Linked DNA regions of Arabidopsis thaliana. The protein of the gene in region 3 interacts with the protein of the main gene of each other region in a biochemical or structural test. Each region holds a gene or a part of one and is shown on either strand. Other genes may lie near its edges. The genes, in order: TIFY7, TIFY10B, COI1 and JAZ3.

Evidence for each region.
Region 1: the proteins of COI1 (region 3) and TIFY7 form a complex in vitro, tested with the Arabidopsis thaliana proteins (one study listed by BioGRID).
Region 2: the proteins of COI1 (region 3) and TIFY10B form a complex in vitro, tested with the Arabidopsis thaliana proteins (one study listed by BioGRID).
Region 4: the proteins of COI1 (region 3) and JAZ3 form a complex in vitro, tested with the Arabidopsis thaliana proteins (3 studies listed by BioGRID).

What each region holds. Positions count from the first base shown.
Region 1 is NC_003070.9:26,652,779-26,657,602, reverse strand, and holds TIFY7 (TIFY domain/Divergent CCT motif family protein), read right to left. Parts: upstream 2,836-4,824; 5' UTR 2,653-2,835; coding exon 2,562-2,652; intron 2,354-2,561; coding exon 2,271-2,353; intron 1,777-2,270; coding exon 1,622-1,776; intron 1,534-1,621; coding exon 1,449-1,533; intron 1,366-1,448; coding exon 1,125-1,365; intron 1,030-1,124; coding exon 854-1,029; coding exon of another isoform or gene 799-853; 3' UTR 539-798; downstream 1-538. Other genes in the region: HWI1 (Receptor-like protein kinase-related family protein), read right to left, coding at 4,222-4,241, 4,326-4,457, 4,757-4,824. UniProt on the Arabidopsis thaliana protein: Repressor of jasmonate responses. Jasmonoyl-isoleucine (JA-Ile) specifically promotes COI1-TIFY7/JAZ9 interaction. Interacts with and suppresses RHD6 and RSL1 transcription factor activities to negatively regulate jasmonate-stimulated root hair development.
Region 2 is NC_003070.9:28,148,044-28,152,010, forward strand, and holds TIFY10B (TIFY domain/Divergent CCT motif family protein), read right to left. Parts: upstream 2,404-3,967; 5' UTR 2,216-2,403; coding exon 2,068-2,215; intron 1,749-2,067; coding exon 1,571-1,748; intron 1,479-1,570; coding exon 1,201-1,478; intron 1,114-1,200; coding exon 1,056-1,113; coding exon of another isoform or gene 1,052-1,055; exon of another isoform or gene 964-1,051; coding exon 876-963; 3' UTR 532-875; downstream 1-531. UniProt on the Arabidopsis thaliana protein: Repressor of jasmonate responses. Jasmonoyl-isoleucine (JA-Ile) specifically promotes COI1-TIFY10B/JAZ2 interaction. Activated by MYC2, MYC3 and MYC4 transcription factors.
Region 3 is NC_003071.7:16,671,968-16,677,878, reverse strand, and holds COI1 (RNI-like superfamily protein), read left to right. Parts: upstream 1-2,014; 5' UTR 2,015-2,392; coding exon 2,393-2,883; intron 2,884-3,568; coding exon 3,569-4,049; intron 4,050-4,224; coding exon 4,225-5,031; 3' UTR 5,032-5,386; downstream 5,387-5,911. Other genes in the region: AT2G39950 (flocculation protein), read left to right, coding at 1-1,121; ISA1 (isoamylase 1), read right to left, coding at 5,696-5,911. UniProt on the Arabidopsis thaliana protein: Required for jasmonate-regulated plant fertility and defense processes, and for coronatine and/or other elicitors perceptions/responses. Seems to not be required for meiosis. Required for the regulation of some genes induced by wounding, but not for all.
Region 4 is NC_003074.8:6,117,856-6,123,557, reverse strand, and holds JAZ3 (jasmonate-zim-domain protein 3), read right to left. Parts: upstream 3,852-5,702; 5' UTR 3,591-3,851; coding exon 3,506-3,590; exon of another isoform or gene 2,476-3,505; coding exon of another isoform or gene 2,430-2,475; coding exon 2,230-2,429; intron 1,970-2,229; coding exon 1,755-1,969; intron 1,680-1,754; coding exon 1,589-1,679; intron 1,508-1,588; coding exon 1,204-1,507; intron 1,107-1,203; coding exon 1,046-1,106; intron 970-1,045; coding exon 867-969; 3' UTR 514-866; downstream 1-513. Other genes in the region: TDX (tetraticopeptide domain-containing thioredoxin), read right to left, coding at 1-24. UniProt on the Arabidopsis thaliana protein: Repressor of jasmonate responses. Jasmonoyl-isoleucine (JA-Ile) specifically promotes COI1-TIFY6B/JAZ3 interaction. Acts as a negative regulator of MYC2 function. Feed-back regulated by MYC2.

The DNA.
Region 1 (4,824 bases), on a different chromosome or scaffold from region 3:
CCTCCTCACCAAACTTTTGCTTATGTGCATCTCCTTCACCATTATTACTTTCCTACAATTATTTATCTGCCTCTAAATAATAATATCTATAAGATCTTTCCGCTTGTGAAGAGAATCTCTCTGTTTTCGTAATCAACATGTGAGCTCTTTTGGTTCACAATTTTTTTTTTGTTTACTGTAGCACATAAACTAGTAGTATTTATTCTCCTTAACATCAAATTTTGAACTCGTGACTTTCATAAAAAGCTATTTAAAACATGAATATTTTCCTTTGAAAACATATCATTTTTTGTAATATATCATCTTAGGTATTTTACACAATCATCAACCTCAAGAGAATTTTCACCTTCTTATTTTCTTTACATTGATACCAAAAAAAAACTCGAGAGAATAATAGTAAAGTGGACTTGTTAACAACGAAAGCTGGCGATACAAAACTAGTACTATTCTCTTTAGCGATGCATTCAATATGATTTTGGTATAAATCAATTAAGTGTTCATATAATTAGTTAATGAAGTGTGTTTGTGAAATTAGCAAAAAAAAAATTATAGTGAATTTTATTTGATATTAAATTCTTGACAGACATGAGTCCATGACAAACATATATCTGTTAGTTCTTAAAGTTATAATGTAATCCTACAATAAACAGACCAAAGCATTACAAACAATGATCAAATACAGAGACGCCCTAACGTCTTCTCCTGCTCGTAAGAATATAAATGGTAACTATATAATCATAATCTAATGATTACAATTACAAATTACCATTGTAAAAAAAAAAAAAAAAAGTGTAGGTTTTATGTAGGAGAAGTAGAAGAGTAATTCATTCCACTGGATTCTCCGGTCGACAAATCAAGAAGCATCTTCTTGTATGGCATTGCACTCATAAGCCTGCACCAACAACATCAATTCTTTTAGATTCAATTGAAAAACCTCAAAATTTTCTATAAAGAAAAAAAATACAAAATCAAACCTCTCTTTGCGCTTCTCCAAGAACCGAGCCAAGGATGCTTTCCGAGCTTGAGGGACTGGAAAAAAGCAATTTTCGAGTTTAGACATATGATTTGAGGAAGCAAAAATCTTGATTATATTTTGTTTTGATGTTGATATTAGACACACATACCTGAAGGAATCATGTTACGAGGAGCTGCATTGAATGATTCGATCATGCTCATTGCATTAGTCGCAGCAACGGGTGTGTCCCTACACCTTGAGAAATTATCAGTGTGAGTGGCAGAGCTTGATGAGGTAGCAGCAGTGTTATGGATTTGTTTTCCATACATTCTTTCAGCTTCTCGAACCGGTTTGCTATCTCCAGTTTCACCTTTCAAACCGTTCCCGGCGCATAACATGATGGCTTGAGCCTACTCACATATCATGAATAGTCCGTTTTAGAACATGTAAATGTTATGTAAATGTTATTTGTATGAATCTTGATTATATATACCTTATCGGGAGATATGTCATTAAAGACGCTTATAGTTCCGCCATAAAAGATTGTGAGCTGAGGAGATGATCCGGAGGAAGCCACTCTGTTTCCACAAACCCACATAACCAAATCAAAATATGAAAAGAGCAAAAAAATTGTTGAATGTTTTTGCATCATAATATGGAAATTACCGTGGAACAAGAGAAGGATGAGTTGGTAAAGGAACTGAACCGCCTAGTAAAAGCGGCGTCGCGTTTTGAAACGCACCACCAAATTGGCATCTGCGGAAAACATTGGCCGCAGAAACTGATCCCCACTGGTATGCACCCGGAAACGCCTTAGCCTCCTAATTTGTTAAATTCAAATTTTAATCGTCAACGTCTTTAAATTTTTTGTACATTCTAAATTTAGAAAAATGCCAAGAAATAAACGTGATCCAAACGCCAAACACCAAACGCCACAAAATATTAAATTATTTTTTCCCTAACTTTGCGGCTGGCAGACGACCGACCCTACCAGCTCTTAACTAGCACTTATCCAACAATTTTTTTTCCCTGGTTAATGATTGGCCACATACACAAAAATGATAAAGTTCGGCCATTTATCCGACCATTTTCCGGTGGCTATCTCTTACGAAAACAACTTTTCTCATAAATATGTGATTGATGTGTTTAACATAATTTGAAAGTAAATTCTTCTTTTTAATCAAGACCATAATTGAGTACTCCTCTTGCACATGCTAAAAGACGACCATGATTATGCGGTAGCTTATAGAACCATTAGATTAGCCATAACATCTGAAACTGATACAGAGTAAGTTAAATTTTAAGATGAACCAACCTGGAAATCTGAAGAAGGCATGAAACTTGAAGTAGCAAAAACCTTTGACTTCCCCCATTCTCTAGCTGCCTTCGTACTTAACCCTATAAGTATCATTTTTTATGGTCGTCAATTTGACTAATCTATCCAATCTCATTTTTATAAAAGATTTAATGGAATCTTTTTTTTTTCAAGTTTTGGAATCTGAAAAATTATATTTAAATAAACAACTTTATACGGCTATGTTAAAAGTGAAAACTGATCTCTTCTTGAAACATTAAAATAAAAGATTCTCGAGACAAGAACACAAACCTCGTTCTTCGACAGCATCATCGTTAACCTCATGCTTAACGTTATTACTTAGATACTGCTTGTCGCTCAAACCCAGAAAATCTCTTTCCATTGCAAACCAAATATTCAATGACAAACTCTCAAATTAACGTGTTTCTCTCTGTTTCTTGCCCAAAACATCCAATTTAAAGAAGAGGAAGAAGAAAACAGAAGAAAGAAGTGGGAATCCACAAGGAAGGTTTCGTTTTGGTAATGTTACAGACACACTTTTGGAGAGGCTTATTTAACTCTTTGCCTTTCCTGTTTTTAAAGGCTTGCTTGATTAAAGCATGTGGGGCTTTTTTCTGACCGGTACAAACGGTTGGTGCTACTGGTTAAACCGGTTAATTCACACGTGTTTATTCTTTTGATTTTTTCATTTCTGAGGACCATATACAATTAGACATCCGTCGACCGTCGGTGGCTCTAGTTTATAATAGTGCATGTTTTTTTTCAAAGGTGGATTAATTAGTTTGGCTATTGGATATTTTCTTCGTGAACTCACACACACATGTAAAATGTGTGGTTGCTTTTCTTATGCAACGGTTTGGTATTTATCACATATTTTTTTCTTTTCTTTGAAAATTATTTCAACTATAATAATAAATGAAATGATAAGCCAAGACTCTTTCGTTGAGGCAAAAGTAATGTCACGTATTGGATATACAATAACCAAATCACGAGAATGCTCAATGGGCTGAAAGAAGTTTGATTTGCTTATCTAAGGCCCATAATTTTGTTTACGGCCCGACTTACATTAAATCTGTTCAGTATAACTGTACAGATTTGGCTAAATTGCATTCCAAACTAGACCTCCAAGAACTTGAGTGAACTTTTGCTAAGCTCATTTCATAACACGTGAAATTTTTGAATCTTTGATACATCATGTTGTTATTTGAGACCAATTTTTCTTATTCATATAATGTTTCAAACAGACGCAAGTCATTTATTAGTCATGTTACTCATGTACAAATTAAAAGAAGAACCTGGTTATGAAGCAATCATCGGTAGTACATTAAGAATTTCAGAAAATTAAAAAAAATATGGAAAAGAATTAGACGTTAGTTGGTCTTTCAAAGTCCTAAAACGATTTGGTAGTCAGCTTACAATTTTAAATTATCATTTTTAATGATTAAAGGACATTAGGCCAAGTCTTCAATTGAGTTCTTTAGACAATATGAGAATAAATAATGATGAATACGATGAAAAGATTCGTTCAGACATTCGCAATAGGACGAACACAGTTATCATTTTTTGGATCTCCATCCTGATTTACGGTTTAATATGTTCCATTATTCTCGACACGTTCATTTATTTTAACTTGTTTGTGTATTGATAAAAGAAGCTCAAACCCTTTTAATTACTGTTATTTTTTGCATAGACGAAAAACATGGCATTTATAGAAGATAAGAAATCGAAGGTTTCATTCACATCAAAGAAGAAGATATCGCTTTGGCCTATATAAGTCCGACAATTATACAAAAATCGATTCGGAGATACAATCATATCAATACTATATCAAATTATCAATATACTATAACTACGTACATCTTATGAGGGAGAACAAAAAAAATTACAAAAATACAACTAACAGTGTGGCTCGACTCGAGTTGTTGATTGATATCTTTCCCACTTTGTCCTTTCATTTACACCATTTCTCATCTGCAAAAGGCATATACATAGTAATTTAGATTTTATGATCGATAAAAGAACTGAAAAAAAAACGTAAATCAATATCAAAAATACCTTGTAATTTTCTACAACACTTTCCAACAAAAGCGAGAAACACAACGAGCAAGATGATTAAGGTGACGATTCCTATTATTATCGCCAATGTTTTTCCCACTCCATTATCATCCTTATTGCCCTTCTCTCCTTCTGCCAAATATATATATATATAATTTTAAAACTATCCATCCACCTCTAAAGTTTTTAATAAATTTGTTTTCTCCATCAAGTATAATGTTCATATTTTTATTTATGGTCAACACTATCAATTTTATGGGTTTAAAAATTTAGCGTCGTACACAAATATATAAACCATTAGACTAATTGTTAAGATCAGTCTAATATTTAAATTTTCATCTGAGGTTACGTAAAAAGGTTTTTTTTTTAGTGATTACGACTTTTTATTTTTTTATCTAGTTTAGTTAAAATAAGTTTAGAGGAAGACTGACCATGACCAAAGTTTGGGCCTGGGGTCTGACGCGCGTGACTACCACCAACACTGAAACGCGCGTAACAT
Region 2 (3,967 bases), on a different chromosome or scaffold from region 3:
GTTCTTCGGGCTTATTAATCATAACGAATTTCGGACCAGTCTTTGGACCAAATTTACGTTTTGTTAGTTGGATGATCATTGTTCAAGACCGAACAAATCATTGTTCAAGACCGAACGAAAAAAAGTTATCGTGGGTCAGAATTCCCGTGGCCTACCAAGCCTGGTCTGATCTACTCCACTTATTGGATATTTATGAAGCTCTTTTTATTATGGACTTCGGATATTTTACAAAGTTATAACTAGTATTTTGGGAAAAACAAAATTGTAACTGGCTTGGTATTTTAACCAAAAATAGTCTACATAGTTTGTGCCATGTATTTAACAACAAAACGAAAATGCTAATACTATAATGGATAGATAGGTTAAAACGTATTTTGAACAATAGCAGACTTGTTAAAGAAAATCTTTCACACGACAATACTTGATAGAAAATCATCATTTTTTAGACATTTCTTTATTTTCGAGAATGCTTTAAGTATTTCTGTTCCTTAACTGTAAGCTTCAGCTCTCAATAAGTGACGAACAAACAATCGGATTAAATAAACTTGGATTATATTAATGGCCATCAACACAAAAACACAAGTGATGTTTCTTACAAAAGTTGCAAGCTAATGTTGAGATCGGCAGAGGAAAGGGTTATACACACTGGCTAAAACTTAAACCCCAGAAGCAAACATTGAACACTATTGATATTGATTTCATACAAATATAATGAGTTTTCGGGGGAGTTAAACAAACAAAACTACTAGGGGTGAAATTAATCTATAGAAAAAATGAACAGAGGAGCAGCTTGATATTTGTAACGATGGAGCATCAGAAGAATCTTACAAGAAGGTCTCTCAAGTTGTGCCTTCTGGGTCGGACAGGCTCGAAGTTTACCGTGAACTGAGCCAAGCTGGGTTAGTAGGCTTGGAAGACGCTTCAGCTGAACCGTCTATTTGGTATGGTGCCTTTGATGTGATCCTGTTAAAGGTTTACGAGTAGGATATTGAGAAATTCGCTTAACAAGAACTTATGGAATAACAAGATATTATGTTTTCATTAAAATGCATTACCTATCCTTCCTCTTCTCAAGGAACCGATGAAGTGAAGCTCTTCTTGCAATCGGGAGTTCTACAAATCAAAAAGAGAGAAAGTTAGAGAAATAGGACTAAGCCAAGCTCAGAGATGGTTGAACCAAAAGAGGCTGAGATCAATTACCGCAGGCTAAAGAGGCCGGGTTAGGCTGAATTGGCTCTTGTGCTGCGGTTTTTGCAGGACTACAAACAGGATTTGGGCTAGAAGCAATCTCTTTTTGAGAATAAGCACTATGGTTATTGTTTACTTCAGCTGTGAAACATGTGAAGCTTTTGGCACTTCCTTTGTTAGCCAAATCAATGACTTCTTTAGCTTTCTCAGCAGAAAAATCATCAAACACCATAACTCGACCACCGTAGAATATAGTCAACGGAGCAGATTGAGACTCTGGCTTCACAGATCTGTTCAAAATCACACAAAAATTAGTTAAACTGATGAAACATAGCTTACTATATGAGACGATTCTTTTCACTATATACATATAAACACATACTTAGTAGTCTCTTTGATCATCTGTACATCTTCTTTGGTCCCAGAGGAAGAGGAAGAAGAAAAGCTTGATTGTCTCGGAAACATAGTCTTCGGTTTAATGTCTTCTTGACCAGCAGAAGAATCCATTCCTGAAGCTTCACAAGGGAACAGATTCATCATTGTAGGCTGACGTGAACCTCCTGCGAAAATTGATCCAAAAGTAAAGATTATTATCATTCACCAATCTCTCAAACAACTGCAAAACAAAATCTACTTAATGACTAAACCAGGCCTATGGCTTTAGAGGATTATGCTTAAACCAAACACAGAACCATCTCCACAAATTCATACACATACATACATATATAGAAATTGATTCAAAATCCATTAATCATCGATTCTCTACAACGATTCAATTTCCAGACAACATGTAATCGATTCATAATTCGTAATTCGCAACAGGAAACTCAAAATTCGCAGAAACGAAATGAACAGATCTAAAAGAGAAAGGTTGATTACCATTAACGTCGGGCTTGCATGTCATCCCTAAGCTCAGATCTCCAAAACTACCCTTCTCCTTCAGGTAACGACTCAATCGAGTACATGTTTGTGAAAAGCTCGGTTTACGACCAGAGAAGTCCCAACACTCGGCAGAAAAACTCGACATCGTTGAAACCGAAATTGAAATCGTTTCGATTGAGAAATTGGAGCAAAAGGATCTTCCTTCCTGAGTTGTTGAATTTTCTCGAATCTTATAAAAAAACTTAGGGTTCTTGTTTATCTTTCTCTGCCAAGTGCGTTTTGTCACGAGGAAGAAATGGAGGACCTCTTTATTACTTTTTTTTCGCTGGTTGCAGATACGGAAATTAGTAAAATATACTCTTATAGTATTAATTAACATAGAGACATTTAAAACACGTGTTTTAATTTAATGTTTTAACGGCAGACCACTGTTTCAGATCACCACCGTCACCCACGTCCCCACGCTTCACACTTGAAATAACCATTTCACCCTCTTACTACTCCTGTTTTTACCATTTTACCCTTACAAGATGTTCAAATAAAATAAAAAATTATGAAAACGTAAAATCCTAAAATTAATTAGTTCAAACAAATCAATGTTCAGATGAAATTTGATTATGATAGTCTTTCAGTTATACCATTTAGTTGGTTCATATATCCTTTTTTTTAAGATGAATCTCTTGGCATTAATTTATGTATTTTTAGCACTATTAATTAGTCTACTATTTTAATCTCATAGACCGGCGTGATATTTTAGCACTCAAAGAGAATTAACGGTATGATTTGGGGGAAAAAAGAGGATTAACGGCGTTAGATAGAGGGAACACGGTGTGGGTCTTACATAACCAAAACTCCACCACCAATGCAAATTTGATCCATAAATCACGTTTTGTATTTTCCCTTTTATTAATTTTTTTTTAGTGTTTTATTTATGACAACAGTAATAAATAATTACAAAAAGCGGGAAGAGCACGTCTCCTCCATGAATCGCGACCTTACACGTGTCTAACTTAACTGCCCACATTTGAGAGAATTTTTCTTGTTGGTGTCGTAGTCAGAGTAATCACCTGTTACGCGGCTTATATAGCAGCTGTGTTCTCCTACGCACAATAGCCGTTGATCCTATCACTCTGTCTTTTATTCTCTTGTTATTATCCCATGCGTTTGTTAGGAACACACAAATAAGTTTGATTTTCTTTTATAACGTAACGTCCAACTTGTTATTTTATTGACTTGGATTGTAGTAATTGCTAACTCATTACAGGTACATCGAGATAACGTAAGGTTCATAGAGTGGCTCGTGAGAAAATAAGGATGATTGGTTAATTTGGTTTTTAACTGTTTTATAAACATCTTCACAAAATTTTATACATCACAAACATATCCATAAGAAACAAAATCAGAAGAAGCTGCAGGTACATACAATTACAAGGAAGAGGGGTCACAAGAAGAACCCAGAGCGCATAAAGACATCAAAGTCTGGATATTATTTAGAGTATGCAACCAAAAAGAAGAAGGCAAGTGGGGTGGTCACAAAAATGCAAGATAGAGGTCACAAGAAGAATAGAAGAACATAAGCTAATTAAGGAATAGTACTCTATATTCCTGTTTTTACTGTAGAAACTTTATCTACTTATGGCTCTCTTATACAAGGCTGATTGATACCCTTTTAGCCATGTTTTTATACTTGCTCTTGGTTTTCACAGCTGATTCATTCCTCTTCTTTCTTTCACATATTTAACAGAAAATAAGCTTACATATGAAAGTGGTAAAACATTGGGCCCTTGGAATATATTTTTTTAGTTTTTACCTTTCAAAAGATGATTTAGTTACTCTCTATATATGTAATTAACAAAGGGAAAACTGTCAAGAGCTACTAAATTTAAAATTGAGAATT
Region 3 (5,911 bases):
CTCATCTCCGTTTGTATCTCATGGGTTCAGTGGTGCCTAACATCAAAGGTTGTCAGGTCCCATCTCCTGATTCATCATCATCTTCTGGCTTTTCTGAAACAGCTGATTCCTCCTCGAGTGCATCATCAAAATCTCTTAGAGCACGCCACTGTGGGACTCAACAGACAAAGACCCAAGGAAGCCTCAGCCCTAGAGCAAGCTCCTTCAAAGAAAACACACTGAGAAATGCTTCTCTACGTATCTCCTCTAGAGATAAATCAAAGGGACACAGTGAAGGCCATTTCTCAATCTTTGATAATTCATCCATTACCTCTATCCCCACCAATGTAGAGGGTTTTATCCAGTCAGAAGGAGAAGTTGAAGAAGCTACTGAGAATTATAATGGAATCAGACAAATTATTGCTTTTGAAGAAGCAGAGTCAACACCAAGTACAATGACCGGACCTCCCCCATTTCCTTTGAAGATGGGTCCACCAGTCTTTTCTCCTTATTATTGCTGGTGCCCTCCAACCACTTCATCGCTTCACGCACCATCTGCCTCTTATCAGTTCCCTCCACTATCCATTGAGCTACCTTCCCTTCCGCCACTTTCCTCCTTATTACCAGCATCGGGATCAGATGGATTCTTGATCCCGTCATCACCGCTCGATCTCTCTGACATCCCTCCATTACCATTAGTCCACCACATACCCATTCCAGGCTCATCATCATCATCATCCCAGCAACAGATGATGATTCCTATAATGTGCGACCCTATTGTTCATATTCCAGTTATCGATATCTTCTCTTCAGGTCAAAGCTATCTGGTAAGCGCTGGACCCACCGGGATAATATCCACGGGCATCCCTCCGCTCCCAGTGGAGAATGATTCGCTGGTCGAGAAAGGTGCAAGAGAAACACTACGATTGCTCATAAGCGGAGCCAATGCAACAACATCTACACCTTTGAACCATCATGGAAGCAGAGGTCTATACAGTGTGAGCCGGGATGTGAGTGGTGTGAGCTTGTTTGCACCTATTGGGTTGCAACAACCGAGTTCAGTTGAGGGAGGAGATGGTGGTGGTGAGAGTGTGAGCTCAAGCGAAGCAGTGCCTGCGCCTCCCAGAGAGACTTCTGGTTAATTTTTTTGGTTCTTTGTAAGTGTGGTCCGAGTTAAGTGTATAGAAAACTCATCTCTCGCCTAGTTTTTGGTTTTGTTCAGCCCAAGTCTTTTGGTTTCAGGTGTAATTAGTCGGGTTTTTTGTAGCTTGCTTATATTACCTTTGTTATTTCCGAGTTTCAAATGAAGCTAAGAAATACGATCATAATAAAAAAGTTCTTTTGCAGTATTCATTTTCTTTCATGGTTCCCTCCTTATTCATAGTCATTGTTGTTCTTTCTAATACTTTTCCTGAGCTTTTTTTTTCTATTGGAAAAACTTTTGTCACTGAAAGAAATTTCAATGTGATTGGTTCTTTTCGCAACTGTAATAAGCACTAAAAGTTAATAATTTGCTGCTTTTTAAGTCTTGTTGCTGAATGATTTAATCCCAAAGACGTTAAAAAAAAGACATGTAAATAGTCTTTGTTCCAAAAGTACCATTTTGAGCGCTTTCTTTCGACAATTGATGTTGAACTTGTACCAAATAAACCTTGAAAATCATACATCATTAAATGTAGTTTTTTGTTATATACTTATATTCATATGGTCCATAATATATAGTTAACCATATTATGGACCATATAAATTCATGCAGTCAACAACTTTTTTTTTCCTCATTAAAAGCTACTAATACTGTAGAAAATTTTTATCTTACAAAAGAAAGGAGAATTATTGTATTTTTATTTTAATCACATATAAAGCAACCAAAGATAACATATACTAGTATTTAGTATTTTTAAATTTTTTGCTTAGGATTCAGGTTATTAATACTCTATAAAGAAATAATTAAATCTATCCATCGAATAAATCACACAGCTTATTGGATCAGTTAAATATTCTAATAATATTGTCGTGTAGCTGAGATCTGACCACTGCAAAAATGAAAAGAAAAACATAGAAGTAGAGAGAAGATCGCATCTCGACCGTCAACTTCAGTGTATGAAATAATGATCGTCCCACTTGATCCTCAAAAATATTATTAACCAAACAAAATTTGATTCCATCGTCCCACTTTCTTCTTCTTCCTCCCAATCCGCCTCTTCTTCCTACGCGTGTCTTCTTCTCCCTCACTCTCTCAATCTCTAGTCTTCTCCGATTCACCGGATCTTTCCTTTCTTACTTCTTTCTTCTCACTCTGGTGGTTATGTGTGGATCTGCGACCTCGATTTCAATTCGAAGTCGTCGGTTTCTTCTCTAAATCGAATCTTTCCAGGATTCGTTTGTTTTTTTCTTTTGTTTTTTTTTCGATCCGATGGAGGATCCTGATATCAAGAGGTGTAAATTGAGCTGCGTCGCGACGGTTGATGATGTCATCGAGCAAGTCATGACCTATATAACTGACCCGAAAGATCGCGATTCGGCTTCTTTGGTGTGTCGGAGATGGTTCAAGATTGATTCCGAGACGAGAGAGCATGTGACTATGGCGCTTTGCTACACTGCGACGCCTGATCGTCTTAGCCGTCGATTCCCGAACTTGAGGTCGCTCAAGCTTAAAGGCAAGCCTAGAGCAGCTATGTTTAATCTGATCCCTGAGAACTGGGGAGGTTATGTTACTCCTTGGGTTACTGAGATTTCTAACAACCTTAGGCAGCTCAAATCGGTGCACTTCCGACGGATGATTGTCAGTGACTTAGATCTAGATCGTTTAGCTAAAGCTAGAGCAGATGATCTTGAGACTTTGAAGCTAGACAAGTGTTCTGGTTTTACTACTGATGGACTTTTGAGCATCGTTACACACTGCAGGTACACTTACTTCTCAGTATCTTGTAGCTACTTTGGCTCGATGCTTTTGAGGTTTAGCGACTCCTTATCATTTCCTACTTTGACTAGAACTCTAGATGCATTTGGCTCTTTTTAAAAAACTTAATAAGTCGTCGTTGTACAAAGAACCATATCTTGAGTTTGTGTTTGTAAAGATTTGATCTTCTTTAGCTCAATTGGGTAAGTTGTAACTTTGGTGGATACTTTTTGTCCTTAATGAAATTGGTGAACCTTACTTCATTTGATTTCTTAGTACACTTTACACTAAGAGTAATATAAGCAGAAACATTTATTTCAGAAAGTTTCAGTATTTAGGCGTTCATGTTTGTCTTATATCCTTAATTGCTTTGCAACTGTTATGCTTGCTATTAAAGCAGAAATTGCAATGATCTTCAGTTATTTCTCAATTGGGGAAGTATAAACTTTGATCCGGATTTTATCTACAACCAATTTTTTCCCTCTTTGGGGAACATTCACTTTGTTTATGCATAAATAGCAAAAAGATTGATTTCTGACATCTTCAGTCTGCCAGAGTTTATGTGTATTATTTGGTTTTTGAATCCTTGATTCGGCTGCTGCTGTTCTTCATATTCAGTTTTAGCGGGAAATCCAAATATCTTGAGTTGTTTCTCACTTTATTCATGCAACTGTCTGTTGTCTTGTCCAGGAAAATAAAAACTTTGTTAATGGAAGAGAGTTCTTTTAGTGAAAAGGATGGTAAGTGGCTTCATGAGCTTGCTCAGCACAACACATCTCTTGAGGTTTTAAACTTCTACATGACGGAGTTTGCCAAAATCAGTCCCAAAGACTTGGAAACCATAGCTAGAAATTGCCGCTCTCTGGTATCTGTGAAGGTCGGTGACTTTGAGATTTTGGAACTAGTTGGGTTCTTTAAGGCTGCAGCTAATCTTGAAGAATTTTGTGGTGGCTCCTTGAATGAGGATATTGGAATGCCTGAGAAGTACATGAATCTGGTTTTTCCCCGAAAACTATGTCGGCTTGGTCTCTCTTACATGGGACCTAATGAAATGCCAATACTATTTCCATTCGCGGCCCAAATCCGAAAGCTGGATTTGCTTTATGCATTGCTAGAAACTGAAGACCATTGTACGCTTATCCAAAAGTGTCCTAATTTGGAAGTTCTCGAGGTAAACGTTTAACTTTGCTGTCTTTACTACATACTTGGGAATGCGTCCTTAGTACTAAATTGTGTTCCTATTTTTTCACGAAATATTTGGGGAGATAAGGGATATGAATGCAATATTGGTTCTCTTTAGTCTTTACATCTATATAAGACTGACAACACTTGTTGTTTTTCTTCAGACAAGGAATGTAATCGGAGATAGGGGTCTAGAGGTCCTTGCACAGTACTGTAAGCAGTTGAAGCGGCTGAGGATTGAACGCGGTGCAGATGAACAAGGAATGGAGGACGAAGAAGGCTTAGTCTCACAAAGAGGATTAATCGCTTTGGCTCAGGGCTGCCAGGAGCTAGAATACATGGCGGTGTATGTCTCAGATATAACTAACGAATCTCTTGAAAGCATAGGCACATATCTGAAAAACCTCTGTGACTTCCGCCTTGTCTTACTCGACCGGGAAGAAAGGATTACAGATCTGCCACTGGACAACGGAGTCCGATCTCTTTTGATTGGATGCAAGAAACTCAGACGATTTGCATTCTATCTGAGACAAGGCGGCTTAACCGACTTGGGCTTAAGCTACATCGGACAGTACAGTCCAAACGTGAGATGGATGCTGCTGGGTTACGTAGGTGAATCAGATGAAGGTTTAATGGAATTCTCAAGAGGCTGTCCAAATCTACAGAAGCTAGAGATGAGAGGTTGTTGCTTCAGTGAGCGAGCAATCGCTGCAGCGGTTACAAAATTGCCTTCACTGAGATACTTGTGGGTACAAGGTTACAGAGCATCGATGACGGGACAAGATCTAATGCAGATGGCTAGACCGTACTGGAACATCGAGCTGATTCCATCAAGAAGAGTCCCGGAAGTGAATCAACAAGGAGAGATAAGAGAGATGGAGCATCCGGCTCATATATTGGCTTACTACTCTCTGGCTGGCCAGAGAACAGATTGTCCAACAACTGTTAGAGTCCTGAAGGAGCCAATATGATATGACCCAAAAAACAGGTTTGTATATAAAGATTTTTAGTCTCGAGTTTTGGGGTTTCCACAAACTGTGTACTATACTACTTTGGTTCTTTTTTTGTTTCATGTTGTGTCGTCGATGTTTTTGGGAGATTACATAGAGTCAGTCTTGTTTGTTGTATGGTCATTACTTCTTTATTTTTCCTCAGGGGTCTGTTTACTTTAATTTCTTTAATAAAACCCCGAAGATTTTGAGAGATTTCTTTATCGTCCATGGTGTTGACTTCTGAGAGCTATATTTGTTTGGATTGGCATCTGAAACTTTATTTGTGGTTGTGATTGTTTTGATAACATTAGTAAAAAGGCAAATAATAGAGTACTAATAATCATTTATAACTTTATAGATGAAAACTTTGATTTCTTGTTCTTACACGAATTCTGAAAACGATGTAACAAGCTTTTGATTGGATTAACAGACGATAAAGGAATCTATTAACAATGAGTGGGCATATCTGAAGCCGACCAAAGGTACCCCATTCAGATTCTTCTAACCATAAAAGGAACCTTTACTATAATACATTATATAGGTAACGAAATAGTTGTCTGTATATGCATCTCATTCACATTTGAGAAGATTCCTTCATATGTTGTGATTTTGTCTAATACGCTTTTGGAGGAATCACGCAAACTCAGGGGTCTTTAATTGGTGAAAGAAGGAGAATGATGGATGAGTAACTGAGCATTGGGTACACATTTGCATCTAAGAAGTGCCTATACTGCTTCATCGCCGTTTCTCTCTCTGGGAGATCCGGTGTTATGCAGTCGTAAGGGCTCGGTTTGCTCGTGTCTACAAATGGCTCCCATCGGTATCCTGGCCTATTCGGTAGCGAAACAAGTGTGGCTAA
Region 4 (5,702 bases), on a different chromosome or scaffold from region 3:
AGCTACTTGAATCGCATCCACCATCGAATTCCGCCTTTTTCTTCTTCTTTCTATGAAAAGCTTAGAAATCAGTGAATCCTTGTGATCGTACGGAGCTGTGTCTGCTCGTATTGGTTTTGATTAGACTGAAAAACGTTGAAATAATCATCGCCGAAAACCGAACATGTCCAACCGGTTTTGTCTTCGCGTTAACTTAACCGCGACTGAATTCATATCCGGTTTATCATCTTTTGCAACATCCCTTTTCGTTGTGCAATAAGACATTGGGCCTTGATGGGCTACAACACAAAATGGCCCACATATTGAAATTAGGATGTTACAAAGAAACTCACAGCCAAAACGAAGACCGAAAAATAATTAGCCAAAACGAATTAAAGCAAATTCTAAAAGATGTTCCATTTTCTCCATATATAATGATGACTTCTTTTGTGAATTCGAGTTGGTAACTGGTAATGTATCAAGCTTATTGTTAACCAGAGTACAAATTAGCAAATCCTATTAAAAAAATCCCCATATTTGAATAGAAAATTGATTAGAGAAATAACTTAGGGAAACAGAAGCGATGCAATTCCATTACATGAATTATACATATGCGAGCTTCAGTGATATATACAAAAGAACAGAGTTAAAAAAAAAGAAACAAACAGTTTCTACTAATTTTCCCAAGTACATATCTGATATGCTCTCATAAGTTCCATTCCACCAAAAAACATGTAAACAAAGTATACACTATCGTATATATAAAGCTAAGGAGAAACTCAGTGTGGCGAGTGAGGAAAAATTAACTGAGACATTGAAAAGACCGCCATTGAAATGCAAATATGGATGTGGAGTGGTCTAAAGCAACCTTCTTACTGTAGATGAAATTAGGTTGCAGAGCTGAGAGAAGAACTAATGCATTCAGACATTGATCTGCGACAATCTGTCGATGACTTCTTGTCTAAGCAATATGGGGATACGCTCGTGACCCTGAGAAACCCACAGCGAGAAAGAGAGTTAGCCCAAGAAACTATTGAATGGTGTATTCTAAAGAAGTGTTGCGTACCTTTCTTTGCGTTTCTCTAAAAACCTAGCCAGGGATGCTTTGCGAGCCAGAGGTAATGCCACTGCATAAGAAACAGAACGAGAATGAAGTTACATCCATGAAAATACTAGTAAGTTAGATGGCGAATGTAGTATCAGGTCTCTGACTTTGTTTTTTACCTGTTGGAGCCATTACATTGGTAGAACAAGAAACTGGTACTGGGCAGTTAATATTGGATCCATTAGCTTGGTTGTTGTGATATGTTGACGTCAAGCCTCTTGTCGCTTTTGTGGCTCCGAGTCCGTTTGTGCTACTTCCAGCTTCAGGGCTAAGATAAGATATTGTAGGCATGAAGCTAGGAGGCATAGCTGAAGAATCGACAGAGGCACGAGTATGATGGACCACTTGTTGATGAGTTTGAGGCGGCGAAAAGACTTGAGGCATAGAGGAACCGTTCCCAGCTAGCAACATTATCGCCTTTGCCTGAGAAATGAAAGAAAGCAAATGAGTACCATACCTTACGAGTAAAAGAGATGCATATATGGAAGAAAATGATTGAGATACCTTTTCAGGAGATATGTCATCGTAAACACAAACTGAACCGGCATAAAAGATCGTCAACTGCGCAGGTGAACCTATTGGCTTGGAAGAAGATCTGACAAAAATAAGTCTTTAGTCAACTATGAAAATGTAGAAAGAGTTTCTGTATGATATGATGACTAGTGGGTACCTAATATCAGTAGTCCCTACAATGGAACCTGGAGGAGGAAGGATTGAAATTGGAGGTGCCATGATAGGAACTCCTACCAAAGGTTGTGAGTTATTGTTATTGTTCATGAAGCTTCTTCCTCCTGGTGCATAATGATGAGACTGGAAACCCGGCATCGACATGGAAACTGCGTTAGTTTCTTCGTGTTGATTGGAATTAGGGAACATCCTCACTCCCTGAGAGTAACAAGCCATAAAGTAGGTGTGAGGCATTGTATGAACTAACTTATCAAAAATGAGAAGCTTAGCTTACACTTAAAATGAATCAGTATTAAACCAAGATTAGATCCACAAACTAATTGCCATGAACTTGTGCTAAACTAGACTCAAAACCAATTACTATATGCTCATAAAACAGGGCTCACTTTTAAAGCTATCTTGCGAAGGATAAAAAAAACACAAGGGTCTTGGTTAACATAGGTTTTGATGACAAATACCTGTACAGAACTGTAAGGAGCTTTGCGGGTTGAATCATAAACATCAGCTACTGATGATGGCATGAAGGAACCAGAGTGAGGAAGATGATAATTTCCAGACTTTCTATGTCTATCTTCTTGAGTTGGCCTGAAGGATAGAAACTGAGAAGAAGAAGCTGATACTTTGTTTGAGAAAGACCAGTTCATTCCTCTGTTGGGAGCTACAAAAGAAAAAGAATAAAAGATAATCAGTTTAAAGTCAAACATGTAGTGTTAACTGTTAACCATAAATGTCTCGAGATCTCCTTACATAAACAACAGAGGATTAATTCAACACCTACTTCAAGGAAAAGATTAGTAACCAACAATGTAGAATCTGATACTGTTGACAAATTCAACGAGGGAAAACCACTTTCGAAAACCGTGTCTAATTCTAAAACATTTGATTGAAAGTCATTGTACGAAACTCCAATAATTTAAGTTTGTTTTAATAGTTTAAATTAAAGAGAGATTCAAACTTTAACCCCACCACACCACACCACATGTTGATGCACTACTTTTATGGTGTGGCACGTTTTGGCTGATAAGAAAACAAAGTTGAAATAATTATATTCCTCGTGGTGAGAAAACTATTATTTCCACATTGTACCTTGAACAATATTCTAACGCAAGTTCCGCTTAATCAACACACAACACAAATACACAATCAATATTTTAATAATCTCATAAACTAATCCAACTCACACAATCAAGAAGTTAATCATCTTATAAACTAATCCAACTCACTCTTTTGAGTATATTTAATCTTTCTACCTACTACCAACCGTCTCTATTTTATCATTTTTGTATCAGTCTCTATACATCCCCTCTTTTCCAACATTTTACGTATTCGTTTTTTTTTTAGTATAAACTAATAAAGTATTTCTCAATTATAAGACTCTTCAAACAAAACAAAAAAATTTACTCTAGTAAAAAAAAGTTTACCGAGTTTAATTATGTTAGAAGCTTGAGATTAGTTCTCGTTAATTTCTCCGACCGAAAGCATGTTTAAGACAAGGCTTTGGAAAAGAACACTAGTTTTTCCAAATCCAAATTCTACATCTCCCGAGAAAAGCAAAGGACAATGTTCTGCTCCAAGCAACAAACTGACAATTCCAGTTCCCGAGCAAGCCATAAAATCAGCTATCCAAAAACAAATTCCATACTACAAGTAGTCCTAATAACTCCTAATCAATCAAACAAATCTACGATTTAAAAACAATCAGAATCAGAAAAATTGAGAAGAGTAATAAATAACCTGAATCTCTAGAGCTTTCGCTGGTTTCCTCCTTGACAGTGATCGGAGAATTTTTCGAACCCAACCCGAGAAAATCTCTCTCCATCTATAATAAAGACACAGCCCGCTACAAAATTAATTCGATCTCAAATGTCTGTTTCGATTAAAACGCGTGTTAAACGCCGGAATCAAGCTAAATAGAGCTTCGCCGGAAAAAGGAAAAAAAACAGAGACTTTTGAGGGAGAAAATGAAAAAACGTGGAATGAAGTTAATTCACCGCAATTTCTAGTTTTATTAACAAATCGCATGCGACATGTGAATCGTACCATTAATTTATAACTATAACAAGAAAAAAAAGATTCTTTTTTCTCATATCCTATTGGCGCAAAAACCAGCTACAGGTTGTCCCGGTTACGTCACCGGATATAGTCGGTTAAAAAGGCACGTGCATCGTCGTGCAGTGTGTGGCGTTTCTTTTTGTGGTGAGACGCGTGGCGAGGCACGTGCGCTATTTTAACGTGAATGATTCACGAGATGCGAAGCGGCAGTTTTAATTTATTTTTTTATTCAATGACAACACTTTTTTTTGTCGGCTGACGCGCTAAGTGTAGCGCGTGAGTCTAACCCCCTTTTTGTCTCACCGCTCAATCTAAAATAGTAAAATTAGTTACACTACTTTCGTGCACGTTCTCTTGACCAAGATAAACATTTGCACGTTGCATTTTTTTGGCAAAATATATTAATTTGTATTTTAGTACTATATTTTTAATCTTTGATTAATCGGATGGTACTATAAAGTAATTGTAAAGATTAGACTTTCATAAAATGATTTAAATACAACAAAATAATTGTTGCGGAAATTTAGTTCCACAACTAAACATTATTAAGCTAAATCTAAATCCTCATGTGATTATGTCATCACTCTAATATTATTTTTTTTAATCCAATTTTTAATTATTTTTTCTGTCATTGTACTTTTATTAATATTTTTCGCGAATTATTAAAGAATGTTGCTTGTTGCTTAAACTATACTTGTATTAATTAAGGTAATTATTGGTACCAAAAAGAAAATATTACTTTAATGTACATATTACTAAAATCACTCGTTGACATCGTTTTTGTGTATTTATAAGATGCATGTGGTCCGGGGGAGGAAATTACGCCATTTCGTGCGTCACTTTCTTCTTAATTTAGTAAAAACTAATACTATACTAAATTTACTAATGTTTTAAAACATATCTAATTATCTCACAAATATAATAATAAAGTTTTCATTTTTTTATGAAAATGAATATTTAAAATTCAAATCTATAGAAAAAATGGAAAGGAGTCAATGATCACAACAACTTGACGATCTCTAAACAAAAAAAAAATTGACGATCATCTCCCACGATAACATCGTTATTTCGAGTCTGGGGGATATGCAGCACACGTCATTTTCTCCAGCCTAGAATTTAGATATTAATATCACATTATTAAGAAAATACTACACTGCAGTTTATTATATACACAACATTCCATATAGATAATAGATCAGATCAGATCAAAAGTGGACCTACAAAGCGAAGATTATATCAAAAGATGCCATAAACGCATCTCTCACGCTATGATCCACATAAAACATCCGAAATTTAATTCTGTTTTTACATCCGACATTTAATTCTTGTTTTCTGTTTTTACATCATTTAATTCTGGTTACCACGACATTTTTTTTGTTTTAATGGTATTAGACTCTATATAGACATACAAAACTCAAAACAAAAGATTCAATGATCACCCCCTACCAAAAAAAGAACAGATTAAATGATCACGAGTTGGCTTAACAACGAAAACTTTTCTCCAACCAAAACCAAACTTAACTATTCTAAATCAAACTCAACAGCAACAGCAACGTCTGTTTACAACAACAACTTAAATAATTTTGTATTAAAATCGAATGAGAGTAAATAATGGCAAAGAGAAAATCAAATGACATATGTATATGCATGATATATAGCGCAGCATTTAACTATATTTAGACTGACTTGAGTAGTTGCAATATTTGGCTCTCTTTTTTTTGAGTTTGGTGCTTTAGTGGATCCTTTGATGGCTCATCCTGCTTCTCGTCGACGTCGAGCCAGATCCAGAGAAGAGCCTCCCTACTTAATGATCTGGTCATTTCTCACCTGTTAATACTTACATTTTAGTTTTTATTTTGATATAGACTTATTTGCTAGT